Linked DNA regions of Tamandua tetradactyla. The protein of the gene in region 2 interacts with the protein of the main gene of each other region in a biochemical or structural test. Links are inferred from orthologs where the notes say so. Each region holds a gene or a part of one and is shown on either strand. Other genes may lie near its edges.

What was found.
Region 1: of the proteins of CHEK2 (region 2) and CDC25C, one has a biochemical effect on the other in vitro, tested with the Homo sapiens proteins (14 studies listed by BioGRID). The link is inferred for Tamandua tetradactyla from reciprocal best matches to the Homo sapiens genes CHEK2 and CDC25C.

What each region holds. Positions count from the first base shown.
Region 1 is NC_135346.1:17,997,266-18,007,997, forward strand, and holds the start of CDC25C (M-phase inducer phosphatase 3), read right to left. Parts: upstream 5,010-10,732; 5' UTR 4,976-5,009; coding exon 4,782-4,975; intron 4,050-4,781; coding exon 3,940-4,049; intron 3,264-3,939; coding exon 3,218-3,263; intron 1,921-3,217; coding exon 1,887-1,920; intron 1,777-1,886; coding exon 1,687-1,776; intron 703-1,686; coding exon 604-702; intron 1-603. Other genes in the region: oocyte-specific histone RNA stem-loop-binding protein 2-like, read left to right, coding at 6,116-6,159, 6,957-7,052, 7,149-7,253, 8,324-8,476, 8,619-8,709. UniProt on the Homo sapiens protein: Functions as a dosage-dependent inducer in mitotic control. Tyrosine protein phosphatase required for progression of the cell cycle. When phosphorylated, highly effective in activating G2 cells into prophase.
Region 2 is NC_135331.1:34,298,296-34,309,027, reverse strand, and holds the start of CHEK2 (serine/threonine-protein kinase Chk2), read right to left. Parts: upstream 6,032-10,732; 5' UTR 5,949-6,031; coding exon of another isoform or gene 5,713-5,948; 5' UTR 5,392-5,712; intron 5,361-5,391; exon of another isoform or gene 5,168-5,360; intron 5,044-5,167; exon of another isoform or gene 4,983-5,043; intron 4,662-4,982; 5' UTR 4,544-4,661; intron 4,441-4,543; 5' UTR 4,321-4,440; exon of another isoform or gene 2,617-4,320; 5' UTR 2,609-2,616; coding exon 2,266-2,608; intron 1-2,265. Other genes in the region: iron-sulfur cluster co-chaperone protein HscB, read left to right, coding at 5,713-5,948, 6,852-6,948, 7,307-7,396, 7,979-8,123. UniProt on the Homo sapiens protein: Serine/threonine-protein kinase which is required for checkpoint-mediated cell cycle arrest, activation of DNA repair and apoptosis in response to the presence of DNA double-strand breaks.

The DNA.
Region 1 (10,732 bases), on a different chromosome or scaffold from region 2:
GAGGGCAGAGAATGGAGAGCTGATGCTTAATTTGTGCAGAATATGTATATAAGGGTGATTGTGAATGTTTGAAAATGGATGGAGGTGATAATAGCGCATTTTAGTGACTGTAATTAACAGTGATGATGTAGGGGTGCAGTTGTGGTTGAAAGAGAAAGTTTAGGGTGGTGTTTGTCATTAGACGGAAAGCCAGAGGATGAAACATGGGACTGTATAATATAGTGAACCCTCCTGAGGGTGAAAATGTTCTAGAATTGATTGTGGTGATGAATGCACAACTCCCTGAATTTACTAGAAGTCAGTGTATACTTTAGATGGATTGTATGGTATGTGAATTTATTTCAATAAAACTGCTTTTTATTAAAACAGAATAAAGTAGAAGGGGGAAAAAGGCCAAAGAATTTCTTCTCTTCTTTAGTTTAAACCACTAAAATGATCAGAGGACATACACCTCCCCCCTTTCCCCGCTCAAACTCACTTCTACAGTCCCTTTTCTCACCCAATTCAGCATAGAAAAACTCAAAAGTTCATAAATGCAGATCTGACATTCTGTCCTCTACAATATCTACTGCTGACCCTTAAAGACAATGATCAGGGACTCACCAGCAGAGAAAGGGGAGAGACATAAGGTCCCCCTGCTCTCTTCTGAAACTTTAGTTTCCTGGGTGCCTGCCACTCCAAAGGCTTCAAAGTGTTGTTTTTCTGCATTAAAAAAAAAAAAAAACTGCATTGGCTAGAGGAAGAAAGGCATTATCAGCCCAGCCAAAAATATTTTTTTAGATTAGGACAGGAATAAACCTCATGAAGCACATTATGTGTAATAAAGATTGACCCTATATCCTGAAGATACAAATTATGATTTAGATTTGCTTTAGAGCATGCTAATTTTATGATCATAAGCAAAAGGATCAGGAAAGAACCAAGCCTGATAGGGGAGGGGTTGATGAGATTTAAAAACCTGACAATAAAAGGAGATTAAAAAGACAGTATTAAATCAGGAAAAAGCTGATTAGAACAGCCCAAATCATGGGTGTATCTTAGTGAAGGTGAGAAAAGAAAAATAGTTATCTTTTGTGGATACTGACCTGGAATAAGAGAAGGGACAGAGAAAAGTAAAAGAAGGTTAGAAAAGGGAATTAATTGAAGGGATTAGAGGATTATTTTAGTAATTGGGTGGCTCTGGAGGGACAAGTTTCAATTTATAACTGAAGGATGGTCTGAGGCTTAGACAAAAAGGACCACGGCTTTCTCAGAATATTAGCTAAGAAGCTAGGCTAAGGAGGAAATAAGAAGAAACTAAGAATCTAGCCTTGAATGGGAAATTTTGCAATGAATTTGTGAACAAATTATGTTCATATAATTATTTCCCTCTGCTAAAAATAAATAAATAAATAAATCCTCAATTCCTTACACTACTATAATATGGATTTTTGTCCTCAAAATGATCAAGTATGAGTAGTAACAACGGCCTGCTGTGGAGGACTTGGAGCTAGGTTTCTATCCTAGGGTCAACGTTTAAAAAAAGAAAAAACAAAGCAAATGAACAATCCAAAAAGAATTGTTTTCCCTATAGTTTAGCATAGTAAGGTATGAATAGCTCTAGGTCTCACAATGCTACCATTGAGTTGCACCATTCAAAGGAAGAAATCTGCTAATTTATCTAAGGTTAAATGTAAAAACACTTACGTTTTCTTTATTTGCAAGTGAGCTACACATTGCATCTGTCTTTCTGTGGTTATGGTCCAAAGTATTCGGAGTGCTACACAGCAGCTGTGCCTGTAAAAGAATTTTTGAGAACATCCAGAATCCTCAAGCCACAGGTAAGTAAAACCTTCTGCTGCCCACCTGAGAAATAAACCCAAATCCAAGAGAAAGGGATTACTCACTGGGCTGTATTTCATAAGGTGCTGATGATGATCCCTGCAGACCAAAACAAACTGTCAGTGAGTGAAGCCCCAAATACTGTCTGGTCATTCTTCAGTGGCCTGGCCCATCCCACCTTTTCCTTTCTTCCGTTCCAGGGGCCCTGCATCTGGTTGATGTGTATCTTACCATAATAATATATAGGATATTCTCAGAGCTAAATATCAAGATGGCAAGTGACATCCCCTCACTTCACTTGCATTATCCTATTTATGGATATGTAACAAAGATGAATGTGGTTTTTTTCTCATCTCATGTAGACATAATCATTTTTAGTTACTAATTTTTCAGTGTTGACTGTTGGTGTAAATATGTATTTCTAACACTAAGGTAGAGTTGGAGAATGGAGAGATAATGTTTAATTGAATGAGATTAAATTCTGTTTGGGGTGATGGAAAAGTTTTGGTAACAGATGGTAGTACAACATTGTGAATGTAATTAACATCACTGAACACTTTGAAAGTGGTTAAAATGGGAAATTTTATATTGTGTTAAGTGTTACCACAATTTAAAAAAATCTTAGAAAAAACTATACAACTGAAAGAGTGAACCCTAAGATAAACTATGGACTGTAATTAATAATTTAATAATATCAGTTCATCAGTTGTAACATATGTACTACACTAATGTAAAATGTTAATAATAGGGCAAACTGTGTGTTCAGGGCCATATAGGGAATACTGTACTTTCTGAAGGATTTTTCGGTAAACCTAAAGCTGTTCTAAGAGATAAAGAAAAATAATTATGAATTTCCATCCTCTCTCTCAGGATTTCATCATGGGTTAGGACATTTTAAGCAATTCAAAGAAAATGCAAGCTATACAAAGTGAAATTTTCACACATATTGATAAAAACAGTCATCTTTCACCTAAACACTGAAAGATAAAGCTCCAAAAGGATTAAAACAGCCAAGTGCAAAACTTTTTATAAGTTTAAGAAGAGCTGAATCAAAATTTGTTGCATTTGTTGAGTATTCCTTGTCTGAAAATTTTAAGATTGTTAAGAATCTATAACAGTAATAATAAACATTATGCCTACATGCAAGTACAGTATGTCATTTTCCTTCATTTTTGAAGATAACACTGATTGAATTCATTTTAACTATCAGGCACATTTTCACAACACTATTCAGATCCGGGAAACTTAGCCTTTCGAGGGAATGACTTGGATCTCAAAGCCCACTTATCTCCAAAGTGAAATATTCTGTACTTTGCAGAGTCTACACAGGATAAAATCCCCATGATCAGTGCTAAAAATGTTGTAGCGTGCGGTTCATTTAGAAAGAAAAACTTACACCACAGCTAACTGTATTTCCTGAGGTCCTGAAGAATACAAGTGTCCTGAAATCAGACATGAAGAATCAGTTATCCTTGTTCATGCACCCTGTCTTTCCTTCTGATTTTCATCATCAGTAAGCCATAGTATTTCCAAAAACTGAGTCTCCTGACAAACAGAAATTCAAGAAATACAAGAATTTACATGCATCACCTAAAGAAAAAATTCTGGTTCTGGGAACCAGAACTATACTATATTACACTAACTATACTATACTATATTAACCCATGGAGATTTTTTCATGAGCCAAAAAGAAAGCTTATCACTCAGGAAATCTGAAATTAGAACAAGTACTAGACTTTTGTCTTATGAAACACATCCATTTCAGACTTAGACCCTATAAAAAAACAGTCTTAGTTGACAAAGTATTTCCTTATGTTGGTTTCTTTGCCTCTGCTGAAATTAGACTAAGGCACAAAACTTCTCATATTTTATTACACTTTGATTCCTACCATCAATCAGCTAACAAAATATTCCTTCCTATCTAACTTTCTCAAATGCAAAGTGACTCCTTTTAATGCTAACTTTTTCTTCCCATTGGCTTAATCATTCTCCTCAAAAATCCTCTACTTACATACAAAATTCAAACTTCAAGCCTCTCTTACTTATTCTCACCACCTTCCCTCTCTGCCCTACAACTCTGTCCTATCCCTAAGTTATTTTTCCCATTGATGGCTATACCTCTCTCCTCCCTACCAGTTTCATCAAGGTCTGCAGAAGTGGTAAGTTGAGTGCCAGACATCTCCCCACTGCTAAGATTCGAAAGATCAAGACAACATTTTGGAGTTCCTCTGTTGAGACATAATAGAACATCAAGATTCCCATTAGGTCATGAAACCTTAAAGACAAAGATCATGTTGCTTTCTTCATTTGAAACACCCTTTGATGACAATCTCAAAATCTGACTGATGTCCAAATAAATCTAAATATTTTTGGAAGTATTCCAGGCTGATAATAGAACAACTAGGCTGAGAAAAAATCTCACTTTCTTTCTACTCCAATAACTTATATCTTATTTTCTCCTCACCAGGATAATTTTTTTTTTAACTGAGGACTAAAATTTATTGAACTATAGGTTTTAACCCCACATCCACTGCCCCGTGCGCCGTAAGCACACAGATTGGATTTCTCATTGGAGTTTCTAGTACATCTCATTTCTATAACTCTCCAACTTTGTTTGCTAGCTGAGACAACAGGACATGCATGTTCATGATTTAAAGTAAAAGAACAATACCATTACTACTAGTAGTAAAAATTAACCAAGTCACAACGCTATAGAATTTGCGAAGACTTTCCTTAAACATCATGTTATATGATCTTCACATGATCCTAGTAAAACAGGATGAGGGGAGAGATTATTACTTCCGTATCACAGAAAATCATCCTGAGACTCAAAAGAGTCTCACAATTAGTTAAGGGCAGAGTTGAGTTTTAAATTCAGGTCTTTGAGCTAGGACAATTTTTTTTTTAAAGCTGTTTAGAAAGGTAAAGGCGATAGAGTGCGATGATAAAAGTGCATTTACCCAGACAAAATGCTTAGGTTTGCAGAATCACAAAGGATTTTATCCACTGGAGTTCTACGGAGATCTGGGCAGATCGTAAAGGAAGTGTCTCTCTCCAGGAGCGAGTTTAACCTCTTCCTCTGACTGCACCTAAATGTGGGCCTTGAGCCTGGGCTTCCCTCTTCTCTTGTGGATGAGGAAAGATCTGCAGACATGGTGTCCGAATTCTCACCAAAGGAAAAATAAAGCCTGGGTGGAAAGAGAACACCATCTTAGGTCATCCAGCCTTCAAGGTTACCTCCCCCACCCTTTCCAGCATGATAAAACATTTCAGGATCGGAGCGGCATCCCCAAACAGTGAATCGCATCCTATTATGAAGGTTAAATCTGACTTGCCCAAAGAGGCTTGGCCTTTTCGGTGGAACCTGAAGTAGCCGAGAGGCAATCTCAGGACTTCAAAGTTGGAATGAAGAGAGGGTTTTTATTTGTTCGGGGCAAACAGCTCACGAGTCCTGACCGGAAATCGGGACTCTTAACTCACGACAATGCCCATTCGGTCCTCTGGACTTCCGTTTGCGGGACCCGGCCTGACCACTGAGGAGAAAATGCGATCTCCGTCATTCCGTGACAGACACTCAGAACTCCAGGCTTACCTCAAATTTGGGGTCTCCTTGCCTTCAGGAGAAAGGGAAGCTGGGAAAGATCGGACACGAGCGAAGACGAGCAGAATTAAAGGAAGAACCAATCCTGGAAACGGTGACAATTAACCAGGGTACACTTCTGCTTGTCGACTGAATAGGCCAGAGTTTGGTTTCGCGGGTTGTCTCCTCAGAGGGTCGAAATTACGCGGTTTGGGTAGAAGAATACCAAAAGCAACGGGCCTTGACCATTCAAATCTTCCGCCGTCCCAATAACCTATCACCGCTCGCCTCTACCTGCGTCAGCCAATCCCTGCGCACCCGCCTAGTTCCCTTCAGCCAATCATTTGGCCAGTACAGGGGGTACGAGGTTGCCTTGCCAGGAGCAAGATTTGCCCCGCCCGGGAGTCAGAGCAGGATAGCGATTGGCCCACCAGCCTCTGGTAAGCTCCGCCCCCCCAGGAAGCCTAATGCACCATTGGCTCTTCCTCTGACCAATCGCCACACCCTTCCTGTGCTCTCCCTTACTACATCCCCACCAACCCGGGAGATTTAAATTGTTCCCCACAGGCGGCCACCACTCGCTAAGATATTATTTGGAGAGTTTAATTTAGATGAGAGTGTTGGAAACGGTTATTTTTTCCTTGCTCCTTTTTTCGTACCGTTATGTGGACCTTTCTCTTCTAACTTCCTGGTTTTGCTAGCCGATCTCTGGAGATGGAGCATTTATTGCCAGCGTGGCAGGTGTTGGGGCGAGACAGGTGTGTGTGTTTAGGCAACGCGGCACTGACCCCTTCCAAGCGCTTTCCTTGTTCGGTGTCCCTTTTTAGTGCGCGGCATCTCTGAGATGCTAGGTTGTGGTAAAAGGAAATTCCTTTTCACGGAAAATAGAGGAGTTGGATCATTTCTTGGCATAATCCTTATCAATCGAAAGGATCTCCAACTTTAGTTGTTTATGGATATTTAACACTGACTAGGTGATATTAAGAAATTATTCTTAATGTTGGAGATTTTATTTTAAATAATCGGGGGCGGGAGCAGCGGTGGATGTAAATGAAACAAGACTGGCTTTGAGTGTTGGATAATAGAAGCATGGGGGTGTGTGATGTCAGTGCTTCTCAAAGTTTAATGCGGTTACTACCCACCTGGGGATACTGTTAAAATGCAGACTCTGATTCAGTAAGTCTGGGTGAGGGCACAAGATTCTACACTTCTTGTAAACCTCCAGGTGATGCCGCAGTGGCTGGCCCTGGAACCACACTTTATGTACCAAGGCATTATGTTATTTTACTTCGGTACGTATTTGAAATTTTCCGTAATAATAAAAAAATGTTTAAAATGCAGGCCCCCAATTGTTGATTCAATAGGTTTAGAGAGGGTTCAGGAACTATTAAGGTCCCTAGGTGGTGCCAATGTAGGTGGTTTGCCAACCCACACTTCTGAAACCCGTCAAAAATACAACCTTTATCTGGTGTCTGAATCTTGTGGTTGTGATGGTGGTGGTTGAGAGGTGCATTGTAGCAGCTGGCTTTTATCCTAATACTCACTTCATCTGTAGAATCTGCTCCCCCAGAAAGGAAGTTTGTGAGGAGTCTCTATCCTCTAGGCTAGAGATGGTGAGCGTGGGAGTCAGTACAGAGCTCTGTCATACCAGGTGAGTTTGAGACTCAGGCTGGGATTTAAGGGAGTGTGGGATGAGTTAGTTTCAACTTTGATGCCTCTAATCACAATTCACATGGACTTCCTGCAGGTGGCAAGTAGAGACTGATGAAGTTGTCCTGCAGCGGCGGCAAAAACAAATAGATTATGGCAAGTGCACACCTGGCTATCAGTGCTTTCTGCAAAAGGTCCCCAAGTGAGTGCACCTGTGGGATGGTGACAACAATGGTGTCAACCAAGTTGTTGTATTTCAATGTCAGGTGATGGAAAGATACTAAAATCTGAGTGCTCTCACAAAGTTACAGCATTGTTAAAACCAAGTCTCCTGCAATCTAGCCCTAAAGATAAGTTTCTAAGATTTTTTTTTTTAATGGAACAAGTAATACTTGGCCCATAAGACTTTAAAGCTTTACCTGTGTTTCCTAATGAGGTAGTTTTCCTTCCAACCACTTTTACTATCCCCTCATGCTTCCAGCTGAGTTGGATAATTGCAACATACTTGCTTAATTACATGCAAATTTACATGTATATATACAAACTAAATGTATGAAAAGGTAGAATTCATTTTAAAGGGAAGATAAACACTGTCTTTTATGTCTATTTTGGCTTCCAAGGAAGCTGGGACTATCTAACTTACCCTTTCCCGAAGGTCAGAAGTTTGGTGTTTAATGTGATTGGAAGATTTACTTTTCTTGTTGGATTGAGGACCCTCTTAGTTTGCCATGCTGCTATAACAAATACCACACAATGGGATGGCTTAAACAATAGAAATTTATTGGTTTACAGTTTTGAGGCTAGAAGAAGTCTAAAATCATGATGTTAGCAAGGCTTGCTTTCTCCTGAGGGTCTGTAGCATCTTGTGCTGCCTGTCAGCAATCCTTGGATTTCCTTGGCTTGTCTATCTGCCTCTAGTCACATTACAAAAGCTTCTCCTTTCTGGCTTCTCTGACCTCCAAGTCCTCTTTATAAGGCCTCTAGTAATCCAGATTAAGATCTACCTTCATTCAGTTGCACCCAACCTTAACTAACATCTTCAAGAAGTCTTATTTATAATGGGCTCACACCCACAGGAGTGCTGATGATTAAGAACATGTTTTTTTCTGGGGCACATAACTCAGCCTTCCACAAGAACATGGATCTTACACCATTCTCAGGAATCACTAACAAATTTCCTCATTCACTATGATAAGCAGTGAGTTGTGCCCCCTATTATATGGGGCTCCCTTTCACCTTGACCTCAGTCTGACCCACATTTCTCATTACTAGGGCACAGCGACAGCCAGGGATTCACCCTCAAACTCCAAACAAGAACAAGAAGTACAGCCGTCGCTCCTGGGATGCCCAGATCAGACAGTGGAGAAAAGCCCTGCATTCCTGGGACCCCCCCAGCCAGACTCTGCAGGGCAGTGGGGATGAGGGGTGTGTTTGCTATTTCTGGTTCCTTCTGTGAGTGGTGGGCTGAGTCCTACGTCTCCCCACCCAACAGAGGTTTAGCTTTCACTGGCTGAAAAGGGAATGACTGTATGAGATGCATATTCCTCTGACTGTGCTGCCTTCCTAGGCAGGGAATGGAGAAACTCTTACAGCCAGTGGATTCTACCCCTTTGGATGACCTACTGGATGACAAGCTCCAGGCCCTGGAACCCTCATAGGATCTGGATGGAGACCAGAAGGTAGTATCTTCTGCTGAAATCCACTGGAGCACAGTCAAAGATAGGGACTGGCCCATGAAGTCACAATTAAGATGGGGTTCAAGGTAGTAGCACAAGAACAAAAGAAAGAAAAGGAGGCAACAGAAAAAATAGCAGAACATGAGTAAAACACTTGAGAACTAGGAATGGTATAAGGAGATTTAATTATAGTTAGGGTGGGGGTGGGCCTTTGGGTGGCACTGGGGAAGGGCAGGTATTGTTTTCACTTGATGAAAGCTGATGTAAGTTTTCTTTGTATGAAACTTGACTTTTTTTTTTTAAGTTTGTCAATTCTTTTTTAAGTGTTTTTCAAGTGAGCCAATGCTAACTTAACTTCTTTTACTCAATCATTTAACATTTTGAAGGATGGATGACAATAAAAAGGAGGATAGCCTAGTGGTGAAGAGCAAGGGCTTTAAGGTTTCAGGGTTTTTAGTTTTGTTTTATGGCTTAATGTACCTTGAAGCTCAGATTCGTGTCACATCTACAGGGTCATCCTCTGGATGTACTGGGGGCAGAATTAATTTTTTTTTTTAACTACAAATTTTATTGAGATAAATTCACACACCATATAATCCATTCAAAGTATAAAATGTCTCACAGTATCATCACCTAGTTGGGCAATTATCATCACAATCAATTTTAGAACATTTTCATTTCTCCAAAAAGAAAAAGAGTAGACAATAAAAAGAAAACCCAGAATACCCCATGCCCCTTATCACCCCTTATTGTTGTCCCCTGGTTTTGGTGTAGTATGTTAGTTACTGCTAATGAAAGAATATTAAGATATTACTGTTAACTACAGTCCATGGTTTGTAACAGGTACTTTTCCCCCCATATACCACTCTATTATTAGTTCTTTGTACAAGTTTAATACATTTACAGAATTGATTTTTTAAACTTTTTTTATTGTAAAGTATAACATATATACAAAGCAAAGAAATAAAAAAGCAACAGTTTTCAAGGCACTCTTCAACAAGTGGTTACTGGACAGATCCCAGAGTTTGTCATGGGCTACCATACGATCCTCTCATATTTTTCCTTCTAGCTGCTCCAGAATATAGGAGGCTAGAGGACTTAAATACTTTTTTATTACCACAGTTGACTTTTCTTCTTTTTTTGTGAATAATAACACATATACAAAAAAGCTATAACTTTCAAAGCACAGCACCACAGTTAGTTGTAGAACCTATTTCAGACTTTGACATGGGTTACAGTTTCGCAATTTTAGGTTTTTACTTCTAGCTCCTCTAAAATACTGGAAACTAAAAGAGATCAATTTAATGATCCAGCGTTCATATTTATTTGTTAAGTCCTATCTTCTATGTATAATTTCACCATCACCTTTGATCTTTCCATACCTCTCTTTGGGGTCATTTGAGCTATGCAGAATTGATTTTTAATACTACCTTTACTCATCACTTGGGCAGTCACTTATCCTTTGGGCTTTTTCATTTGCCAAATTAGGGTTGTTTTTTGTCTTGTTTTGTGTTTTTGTCTCTTGGTAATTGTAAGCAAAAGTGAGAATACTTATTTCAAGAATATAGCACAGTGCCTGGTATGTAAGCGCTCCACAACATTGGAAACCATGTCTTCTATATGTCAAGGTTTCTTCTCTGTTCTTTTTTTTCCCCCCAAGGAGAAATATGTAGTGCAAGGTAAATCTTCCCCCCACCCCTATCTTCTTGATAAGTACCTCACCTTTCCTCTACTCTTTTCTTTTTCAGTCTGTGGACTCGGTGGCTCCTGCCTCCTTCCTTCCCTGGTTCTGTGAAGAAGATCCCTACCACTGACTCTACTTCTAGCTGATCACAGCCATTTACCCTGTCCCAGATCTGAGTGGGGCACAAAATAGTTAGAGAAAACAGATGTCTTTCAGGGGCTTGTTGTAAGTGTAATAGTGAAAATTACTTGCATTACTATTACTTTCCAATCAATTAAAAAAATCTAAAATTCTGCCCTACAAAGAGATATCACAACAGGA
Region 2 (10,732 bases):
AATAAATAAACTATCTCTATTTGTACATGACATGATCTTGTATGTAGAAAATCCAAAGGAATCCACAGAATAACTACTTGACCTAATAAGTTCAGCAGTGTTACAAGATAACAGATCAGCATATGAAAAATCAATTATATTTCTCTACACTAACAATGCAAAATCTAAAAACGAAATCCTATTTATAGTAGAAGATACTAAGATACTAAGAATTCAGTGGTAGAATGGTCGCCTTCCATGTGGGAGACCTGGGTTCCATTTCCAGATCATGCACAAAAAAAAATAAATAAATAACCCTCAGAATAAGTTTAACAAAAGAAGCGCAAGGAGCCTGCCCATGCCAAAAAAAAAAAAGTGCAAGACTTGTCACTGAAAACTACAAAACATTACTGAAAGAAATTAAAGACCTCAATAAACAGAAAGATATCCCATGTTCATGAACTAGAAGTCTTAATATTGTTAAAGTGGAAATGCTCCCCAAATTGATCTACAGATTCAATGCAAACTCTATCAAAATCTCAGCTGGCTTCTTTTCTGATATTGACAAGCTGTTCCTAAAATTCGCATGGACCTGCAAGGGACCCAAATACTTAAAATAATCTTAAAAAAGAATAAGTTGGGAGTTTCACACTTCTCTGTTTCAAAACTTACCACAAAGTTATGGTAATCAGAGCAGTGTGGCACATCATAAAGACCAGGGGATTAAAATTGAGAGTCCAGACTATGTGATTATGAAAACCTTGTGTCTGATGTTCCTTTTATCTACCTTGTCAACAGACGAGTAGAACATACGGAATAAAAATAAATAATAGGGGAACAAATGTTAAAATAAATTTAGTTTGAAATGCTACTGATCAATGAAAGGGAGGGGTAAGAGGTATGGTATATATAATCTTTTTTTTTTCTGTTTTCGTTTTATTTCTTTTTCTGTTGTCTTTTTATTTCTTTTTCTGAATTGATGCAAATGTTCTAAGAAATGATCATGAGGATGAATATGCAATTATGTGATGATCTTGTGAATTACTGATTATACATGTAGAACGGAACGATCATATGTTAAGAATGTTTTTGTTTGTTTGTTGTTAAATTTTTTTTAATTAATAAATTTTTAAAAATAAAAAAAAAAAGGAGAAAAAAAAATTGAGAGTCCAGAAACAAACCCAAGTTTAATTTTTGACAATGGTGTCAAGACAATTCAATGGTGAAAGAACACTGCCTTCAACAAATGATGCTGGGAGAACTGGATATTCACATGCAAAACAATGAATTTGGACCCCTATTTCATACAAAAAAACCACTCAAAATGGATCAAAGATCTAAATCTAAGAACTAAAACTATACAACGCTTAGAAGAAATCACAAATGTAAATCAATGATAAGTAATAATAATATATAGCTCCTAAATGCTGAGCATCTACTCTATGCTGATTTCTCTATCCAGCTTTTCATATATTCTCACTTTTAAAGGTGATGCATTCCAATTCACTCTTCCTCATCATTTCCCTCTTCCCCACTCAACATACCTAAACCCCAAGCCTATTTTTAAAATATGGCTTAAATGGGTAAAAGATATGGAATGTCACTATATCATTTATTTTTACCATTTATTCAACTTATCAAAGTTGGACATTAAATTAAAGGGAGGGGTAGTGACAAGGTACAGAATGTTATTCATTTCTCCACATTATTTTCTATTATTTCAATGTCAAACTTTTTTTTAAACAAAGAGATCATTCTAATCTGAGGAGGAAAAAAGCTTCAAATTTACCTATAGCAAAGTCTTTCTATTGAAATAGTTGCTGTGAGAGAATAATTGTATTTAAATTGCAAGGTCAGCTATTTTGAGATAAGAACAAATAACAGATAACCAAGAAATAGCCTTACCTAGCTCTGATACTACAAAACTGATGCTCTGAAGCCACCAAAAACCACAGCAAGGTTATTAGTTGGCAAAGCTTCTGAGATTCAATAAGAAATGTTAGCAATTTTGCATGAAGCTGCACTTTTCAGGGGGCAGTGTCCACGGCTCTCTTCAGATGGACAGCATGTTGCATATACCCACCAATAAAAAATTGTTGGAAAAATTAAGGAAACCCAAAAGCAAGTAAGAACCAGTGTGCCACCCAACACTGTTTCCTCTGTTTCATCATTCATCATCTTCAAATTCTAGAATCATTCCAGGGGTATCCCAAGCTGTCTGCTGCCACAATTTTCTGTAATTGTTTTTTAGAACAAAGCATTACACTATATAACAAAGGGTCTTACCAAGATTGGTGAACCCATCCTGGAGGGCCCATAAACGAGCCCAAGGGGCAGGGACTGGCTCCTCTGGTTCTTGGTCCTCCGGGATAGAATAGAGTTCCTGAGTAGACACTGTGTCTAAGGAACTCAGAGTCCCCGAGCTGGAGTGTGACGACTGGCTGGAGGTAGGCACAGTGCTGGAAGAAGAGCTGGACGTGCCCTGGAACGGGGAGGCAGCAGCGTAGGACTGCGAGGAGGCACCCAGGGACTGGGAGGCAGCACCGTGGGACTGAGAGGCAGAACCCTGAGGCTGCGAGGAGGTGCCGCTGGGGGACTGCTGACACTCCACATCTTTCTCCCGAGACATCACGACCTCTAAACGTAAGTGTCCAACAACAAAGTGAGTTACAATTAACAAGACTTAAAGTTCAAGAGTAAAGGATAGGTACACTACAACCATAAAAAATTATCCAGCATGTTCCGCAAAAATTAAAATTCTAACACTCTAGGCCTATAGTTCTTCTGGTCTAAGCTTTTCATCAGATCACTTTCACTAAACCAGTTTTTTCTAAGAGCTGCAAACCAAAAGGGGGTGAGGGGTTATGTGAAAGCTACAGATAGGTATAAGGCAACGTAACTAAAGCGAAATATAGGCTTACCATACAATCCAGCAACTGTGCTGCTAGGTATTTACCCAAATGAGTTCAAAATTTATGCCCACATAAGTTTGCACATGACTGTTTATGGACACTTTACCCATAATTGCCATAAACTGGAAACAACCAAGATACCCTTCAATAGATGAATGGATAAATAAACTGTAGGTATATCCACACAAAGGAAAACTATTTAAAAATAAAAAGAGCTATCAAGACATGAAACGACAGGGAGGAAATTTAAATGCATACTGCTATGTGAAAGAAGCTAGTCTGAAATGACTACATACTATATAATTCAAACCAGATGACATTCTGGAAACGGGCAAAACTATCATTGTTGCCAGGGAAGAAGGAGGAGGGAGATGAATAGGTGGAGCAAAGGGCACTTTTTTAGGGCAGTCAAACTATTCTGCATGATACTATAATATTGAATACATGATACTCTCCATTTTTCATAACCCATAGAACTGTACAACACAGAGTGAAACTTAATGTAAACTGTGGATTTCAATTAATAATAATGTATCAACATTGATTCACCAATTCTAACAAAGTTTGTACCAACTGTACAATTGTAAATGTACCAGACTAATGCAAGACCTTAATATGAGACACTGCATGGGGCAGAGAGGGGGAATATGGGGCTTCTCTGTACTTTCTGCACAATTTTTCTATAAATCTAAAACTATTCTAAAAGTAAAATCTTTTTTTAAAAAAAGCAGTGTAATTGAGCTTGGGGTGTGTGGAAGACTTGTAAGTTTACTTTCATTCCTTTTTTTTAATTAGGAATGAAATCTAAAACATATTCATTTATACAATCAACACAAAACTTAAATTTTCATATATATTTTGCAGAAAGAAGGGGAAGAGTCAGGTGCTTTGGGACAGACTATGCAAAAAAGAAACAACAGTAATTTGCTGCACAACATAAACATAAACTGATAACCCTCCCTGTCAGACCTCCTTCTTGAAGGGAGATACCATGTCCTTTATTCATTCCAGATTCCTGCACTTCTAATTCAGGGCTGGGATTCTGAGAAGAAAAAGGAAACTGCTCTAAATGCCACCCAGCTCTTTGTGATGCTAAGTAACTATGGAGCTCATCTTTTCAGCATCCCAAAAGACCTTGCAGCTCAGATGAAACCTTGCAGGAATCATTCCCAAGAGTCAGAGACCATAACACAGGTGCCCACCCTTGCTTTAGAATTAACTGATGGGCAGCTTATACCCCATAACAGTATCTCTGGTAGCTAGAGTCAAAACAACTTGCAATGCTGATCTAATCTGATTTTTTTTTTAATGAGTTCCTTCTTTCCTGCTCCCCACACTCAGACCTAATCCTCCAGTAGCACACCATAAACACTGCATTTACATAGCTTTCAAGATGCAAAGGCCCTGAAGAGTTTTCCTTAAAACACACCAGGAAGATGAATGAGTTTGCCACTCCAGGACCTTCTGGTTTAACAGGGCCAGGGCCAGGTTGAGTTCTCCTGCAGCTTTCTGAGCAAGGCTTCTTCTCAGGCTGCCTCCAGTTCCAGCCCTGATAAAGAAAGACTGAGGGTGTCAAGAGTTGGGTGCCATCATTGCTGATGACAAGGCCCACTCAGACAGTAATAAAGAGCCCAGACTGGGACCACTCTTGCCTCAGCAATGGGGCGAAAGTGTCGTGGAGTGGCATACAGGTCTGGAGTCAGGTTCCTGAGTCAAATCTCTAATTGACTCTGAGCAGGTCACAATCTCTCCGAGCCTCAGTTTCCTCATCTGAAAAAGAGCACATATACCGTGAGGATTGAAGAGGTGAAGTATGTAATACCCCTTCCCTCAGCAACTGGGAGCTAGTCTTATCAGAAAGCCATGCAACGTGGGAAGTGAAGAACCCAAGTCATGTCAGCAATATTCCAGGGTTGGTAAACAGAATTCCAGTCCCAAAGAGTTGGTAAATAGAATTCCAGTTCCAAAGAAACCTATAGCCATAAAGACTTTACAAGTGCAATGTCACCTGTTTATCAAATAGAGAAACTCAGTCCCAAAGAAAACTAGTACCGCCCGCCCATTTCCCACCACCCCATTCTGTCCACTTACTTATGAACGCTCGCAGGACATCCTGCCACATAGGTAAGTGGGTTTCCAGTTCCTGGAGCGCCTAGCAGCCAAGAGCAGATTGTCAATAATTAAGACTGAGCCCAAATCATGGTAATAATTACTACCATCTATAGAAGTCTTTACAAAACAACCGCGCTCTGATTTTGAAGAGCACAACGTTGTACCTTCCTATCCTAGAAGCCTGGGCCAGTCTCCGCTTATAAGTCACGAGGGGAAGTGAACTTCACCTCGACGTTTATCTACAAAAAAGGAAGAGTCGCTACGCCCCCATTCCCGCGGGAACTCAAATCCGACAAAGCGGAAGCTCGGGAGACGCCGCTAGCATAGGACCGGGAGGAAGGGATTCGAACCCCCAAATACAAAAGAAAAGCTCCCCTTCATGACTCACCACGCGAGTCCCAGAGGAGCCGCACACTCATGGCAGCGCCTGAGTGGCGCTAAACGGCAGATACAAACGCCGCCCTGATCCAATCAAATCACCCTCCGACGTGGTTGGACCAATTAGAAGCCGCGGATGTAGTCGTCAAAGCGTAGCCTCAGAACCCACTGGGGGTTGTAGTTTAGGTCGCAGAGCGGAACTCGGCTTCCAGGTTTCCCCCGGTGATTCCGCCCCCTCGGGTCCAGCAGCCAATCAGCAGCACGGATCTGATCGGCCAGCCACACCCCCTTTTGCTCACTAGCGACCGCGGCGACTGAGGCAGCGGGCCAAATGTGGGGTGGTAGGGCCAGAGTCCTGCTCCGGGTATGGGAGTTGTGGCTGGCAGGGGTTCCCGGGAGGGGACCGCTGAGCTCCAGTGCTGCGTCCCAGGCGCGAAGCAACACCTCCCGATGTTGGAAGTGCGGCGGCCCCGGGGGCGCCGTGCTGGGGGACGCGTTCTTCTGTCCGCAGTGCCGCGCGCTGCAGCCCCCCGACCCCTCGCGTGACTACTTCAGCCTCATGAATTGGTACGGGCAGAGGCTTCGGGAAATGGGCCGGGGCAAGAGACGTCCGGGATCGGTCTGCGAGAGGGCAAGGCCGACCGGGCTTGGGAAGGAGGTGGAACTGAGAAGGAAGGTGGGTGGAGGCCTGGAGAGCAGGGGTTGGGGACCGGGCCTGGGAGCAGGAAGGTTGGGATTCGCCCTGAGGGGGGCCGGGGGCGGGAGTTAAGGGGCGGGGCCGGGAAAGAGGGAACTTGAGAGGCAAGATCAGGAAGTTTAACGTTGGATGAGATTAAAGAAAGGAATATTGAGGTGTAGCCCAAGATGAGGATATAAAAGCACGAAAAATTTAAAATTGTGGAAGGGGTTATAAGAAAGCCTGGGAATTAGAAGGTAAGGGTTGAGAAATGGGTATTGCCCCCTTTTGTTCTGAAAGGTAAGAAACTTAAAGAGGTGGTGACGTCTAGATGGAACTGGACTGGTCGTGTCATTGGACAGACAATGGGAAGAGAAAATGAAAAGATTGGATTAAAGGAAACTGGAAGATGGGGATGAAGGGCCTTGGAAAGATGGGGTGGGATTCAGGATTATCCCTTCCCTCAACTCTAGGATCGGACTCCACCTGACACTTAGCACTTACTACGTACTGCAGTTATGCTAGTCTTTAAGTTCATCAGGAGTACTGACCTTGTTCCTACCTCAGGGCCTTTGTATTCCCTGATCCACATCATTCAGGTCTCACCTGAATTATCTCTTCACCCACCCCATCTTTATGACCCTGTTTTGTTTTTTTTTCGTAGCACCTACCACTTTTGAAAATTATCCCTGTTTCCTTATTTTTTGCATCTTCCCTCATGAAAACAGGAACCAGGCCTATGGTAGACAAATCTTTATTTGTTAGATGAATTTAATCTCCTGATTTCTTTTCAGCAACCGTTCCTTCAGAGTTGACACCACCAAGCTCCAGCATAAGTACCAGCAACTACAGCGTCTTATCCATCCAGATTTTTTCAGCAAGAGGTCTCAGGTAGCCTTGTTGGCACCCTGAATCATACCGAACACATATGTACAAACTGGGTGGGTAGTAGCAGCCTGTGGTTATGTGATTTTCGGGAACAGAGCTGGACATTCAGCTCCACCCTGTGACAGCCTGACCCCTGCCAGGCAAGCCCTGGAGTTGTCAAGCACTCACAGCTTTTATCTGACTTCCCAGAAAAGTCTCGAACTGGTCAGTTGAAAATAAAGACTACTTATCCCACAGCACTTACACTTTGTACTTTGGCTACCTCCTTAGGTTTCTCCCAGCAGCATTTTATAAAATAATTTGTCAATGTAAGATGGCTGATTTGGACGATAATAAGGCTATCTTCATTTCACTCTAACAGACTGAAAAGGACTTCTCAGAGAAGCATTCAGCCCTGGTGAATGAGGCCTATAAGACTCTTCTGGCCCCCCTAAGCAGGGGACTATACCTGGTAAGGTGATTTCCCAACCCTTCCCCGTGTGACTGCCTGATATCCATTGTACTGTGAGACAGTTGCCCCCCCTGTATTAAGCAAAAGATTACTTGAGAAATACTTGAGACCTGAATTAGTCCAGAAACGGAACAGTATTTAGTCTGTAAGATACTACATGAATGTAGTTTTCTCTGCAAATGTTACTTGCCTCAAATGCATCTTCTTAAACCATTTTTCATAAATTTCAAGGATTTGATGGTGATGGCTTTTGGAGAAAGGCAATTTTTGCTTTGTTTTGGGAGGAAGAGATAAGCATCTTAGAATCCAGAAAATTCTAGAATTGAATAGAAACTTTACAAACATTCAGTTCAGTCCCCTGAATGGAAGAATGACTCCCCAAGCGTCACATGGTTGCAAGTAGCGTGGGATCTAGACCCAGTGTCCTGTCCCTGGTTCAGGCTATTGGCACTCTGCCCTCATGCTTTTGTTATTGGTTCAACTTAAGTTTTCCTCATAAGAGAAAGCATGTTCTGAAGGGTGAGTAAGATTTGCATGACTCTAGCCATAGTTTCTTATTTTCCCTACTTTATGCCCCAATAGCTAAAGCTCTGTGGAATCGAGATTGATGAAGGGACAGATTATGAAATGGACAGGGAATTCCTCATGCAAATAATGGAAATCAATGAAAAACTCGCAGAAGCTCAAAGTGAAGCTGCCACAAAAGAAGTAGAATCCATTGTTAGAGGTAAAAAATAAAATACCCCCAAATTCATGTAATTGCTAATATGAGTACATGTCTAAAGTTAAGTGAAAAATGCATGTAAATGCATTGGAGGTCATAATGATTCAGGGAATATTTTTTTCTTGACCATACTCAAACTACTTTTGTCTGGAGATTAGTCTTGCAGCATCCCTAACCATTTGCAAGGCAAGAGGATTAAATCTCTGGTAACCAAGAATGAAAGACTATTTTGATGATTATAATGTTCCTTCATTAAGATACTATTAATTGGAGCTAAAGGGACGCAGATTGTGCAACAGCACTGATTGTTGAAACTCAGATGGATAGCACAATGTTACCTGATTGTAGCACAATAATGTAAGTACACTGAATGAAGCTGAATGTGAGAAGGATAGAGGGAGGAGGGCTGGGGGCACATATGAAACCAGAAGGAAAGATAGACAATAAAGACTGAGATGATATAGTCGAGAAATGCGTTGAGTGTACAATGATAGTGACTAAATGTACAAATTAAAAAACATTTATGCATGAGGAAGAACAAAGGAATATTGCAGGGTGTTGAAAATAGATGGTCATTTATATTTTAAAACCTCAATTTCTGTGTGAGACTAAAGCAAAAAAAAGTTTATTTAGTTCAAAATTTATATTTCGTCTAGTACATTTCCTAATATAGCTTATATGGACAGGTTAATTGAACACCGTAAGTACATGGAACTTTGAATAGGGCATGCGATTTTGTAGGTTTGTCCAGTGTGATGCCCCGATAAATCCCAGAGTAATTTGAACAGTGAATAAAGATGTAATTGCAAAATCCCCTTGGGGGAATGGTGAGAAAGGGGAAAAAATTCAACTTCCCCATTTGGAGAATGCCTAATATTTTCACAAGCAGTGGGGACAACTGAATCAGTAGGCGGAGCAATTAATCTTGGGGTTTTTCATATGAAACTTACCCTGCAAAGAATAGTCTAAGCCTCCTTAAAATTAGGCCTAAGAGTCACACTCAGAGAACCTCTTTTGTCACCACAGATGTGGCCTTTCAGCCAGCACAGCAAGCAAAGTCGCTGCCCTTCCCCTCTCTACATGGGACATGACTCCCTGGGGTGTAAACTTCCCTTGCAGCGTGGGACAGAAATTCTAGAATGAGCTGGGGCTCAGCATCAAAGGATTGAGAAAACATTCTTGACCAAAAGGGGGAAGAGAGAAATGAGACAAAATAAAGTGTCAGTGGCTGAGAGATTTCAGAGTCCAGAGGTTATCCTGGAGGTTATTCTTACTCATTGTATAGACATCCCCTTTTTAGTTTAAGGTGTATTAGAGAGGCTAGAGGGAAGTGCCTGAGACCATAGAGCTGTGTTCCAGTAGAAAAAAAAAGGTACTATGTCTAATGAGGAAAAAGGGCTTCAGAAGTTAATGGAAATGCCTAAGGCCACACAACAGATACACAGCAGATACACATTGAAACCATGTTCTTCTGAGCTCTTATTGCTGCATTTTCCATATTATTCCATAGAACAGGCTCCACAGTTTTCACTCAGACTGTATGCATTCGTGTTCTTTCACAGATGTTTGGGATGTGCCCACTGTGTGTCACATACCAAGCTTGACACTGAAGAATACAGCAGTGAACTAAGAAAGACGTGGCCCATCCCTTCATAGAGTTTACATATTCCAGCTCCATATGTCCAAAATGGAATTCACGAGGTTCTTCCTTACCGCTACCACCCCGAAAGAAAAAAGTGAAACTACTCCTCTCCCAATTTTCCCTCCCCAAGAAAATGTCACCATCCAGTTGTGCAAGTCGAACACTAAGGAGACGTCCTTAACAGCCTTATTCTCCCTTATCCCCATAGACAATCTGTCACCAAGCCATGAAGAGTTGACCTCCTAAGAGTGTCTCAAATCCATGTACCCATCTCTATTTTCACTGCCACCACCGTGTTTCAAACTACATTATCTCTTACCTGTATCACTACTCTACACTTATATGATCTTTTTTTTTTATTTTATTTTTAATTTTTTCAATAGAGAAGTTCTGGATTTACAGATCATACATAAAATACAGGATTCCCATACACCACCCCACCACCAATACTTGCATTAGTGTGGAAAATTTGTTACAACTGATGATACTTTTTTGGTAAATTCTGTTTTTTTAACAGTAGTTAAACATTTGTTAACAACTGATGATTATTGAAGTAGTACTATAACGACTATTCATAATTTACATAGTATTTTCCCCATATTCTCGACCTACAATAATTTTTTTTTTCTATGCATGTCTTTATTTCATCACCCATCTACTCATACACTGGATAAAGGGAGTGTCAGTCATAAATTTTTTACAATCACACAGTCTTATAATTAAAGCTACATAGCTATAGGAATCAAGGCTACAGGATTACACTTCAACAATTTCAGGTATTTCCTTCTGACTATTCTGATACACTAGAAACTAAAATGAAATGTCTATATCATGAGCCAGAAGTCGTAATCATCTGTTAAATCCTAATTTCTCAGTTTACACCTCCTCCCTCTCAGCTGATCATTCTCTCAGTCTTCAGAACCTCTGAGCAATGATCATTTTGGCTTCTTTGTTCTGGAAAGGGGTGTCA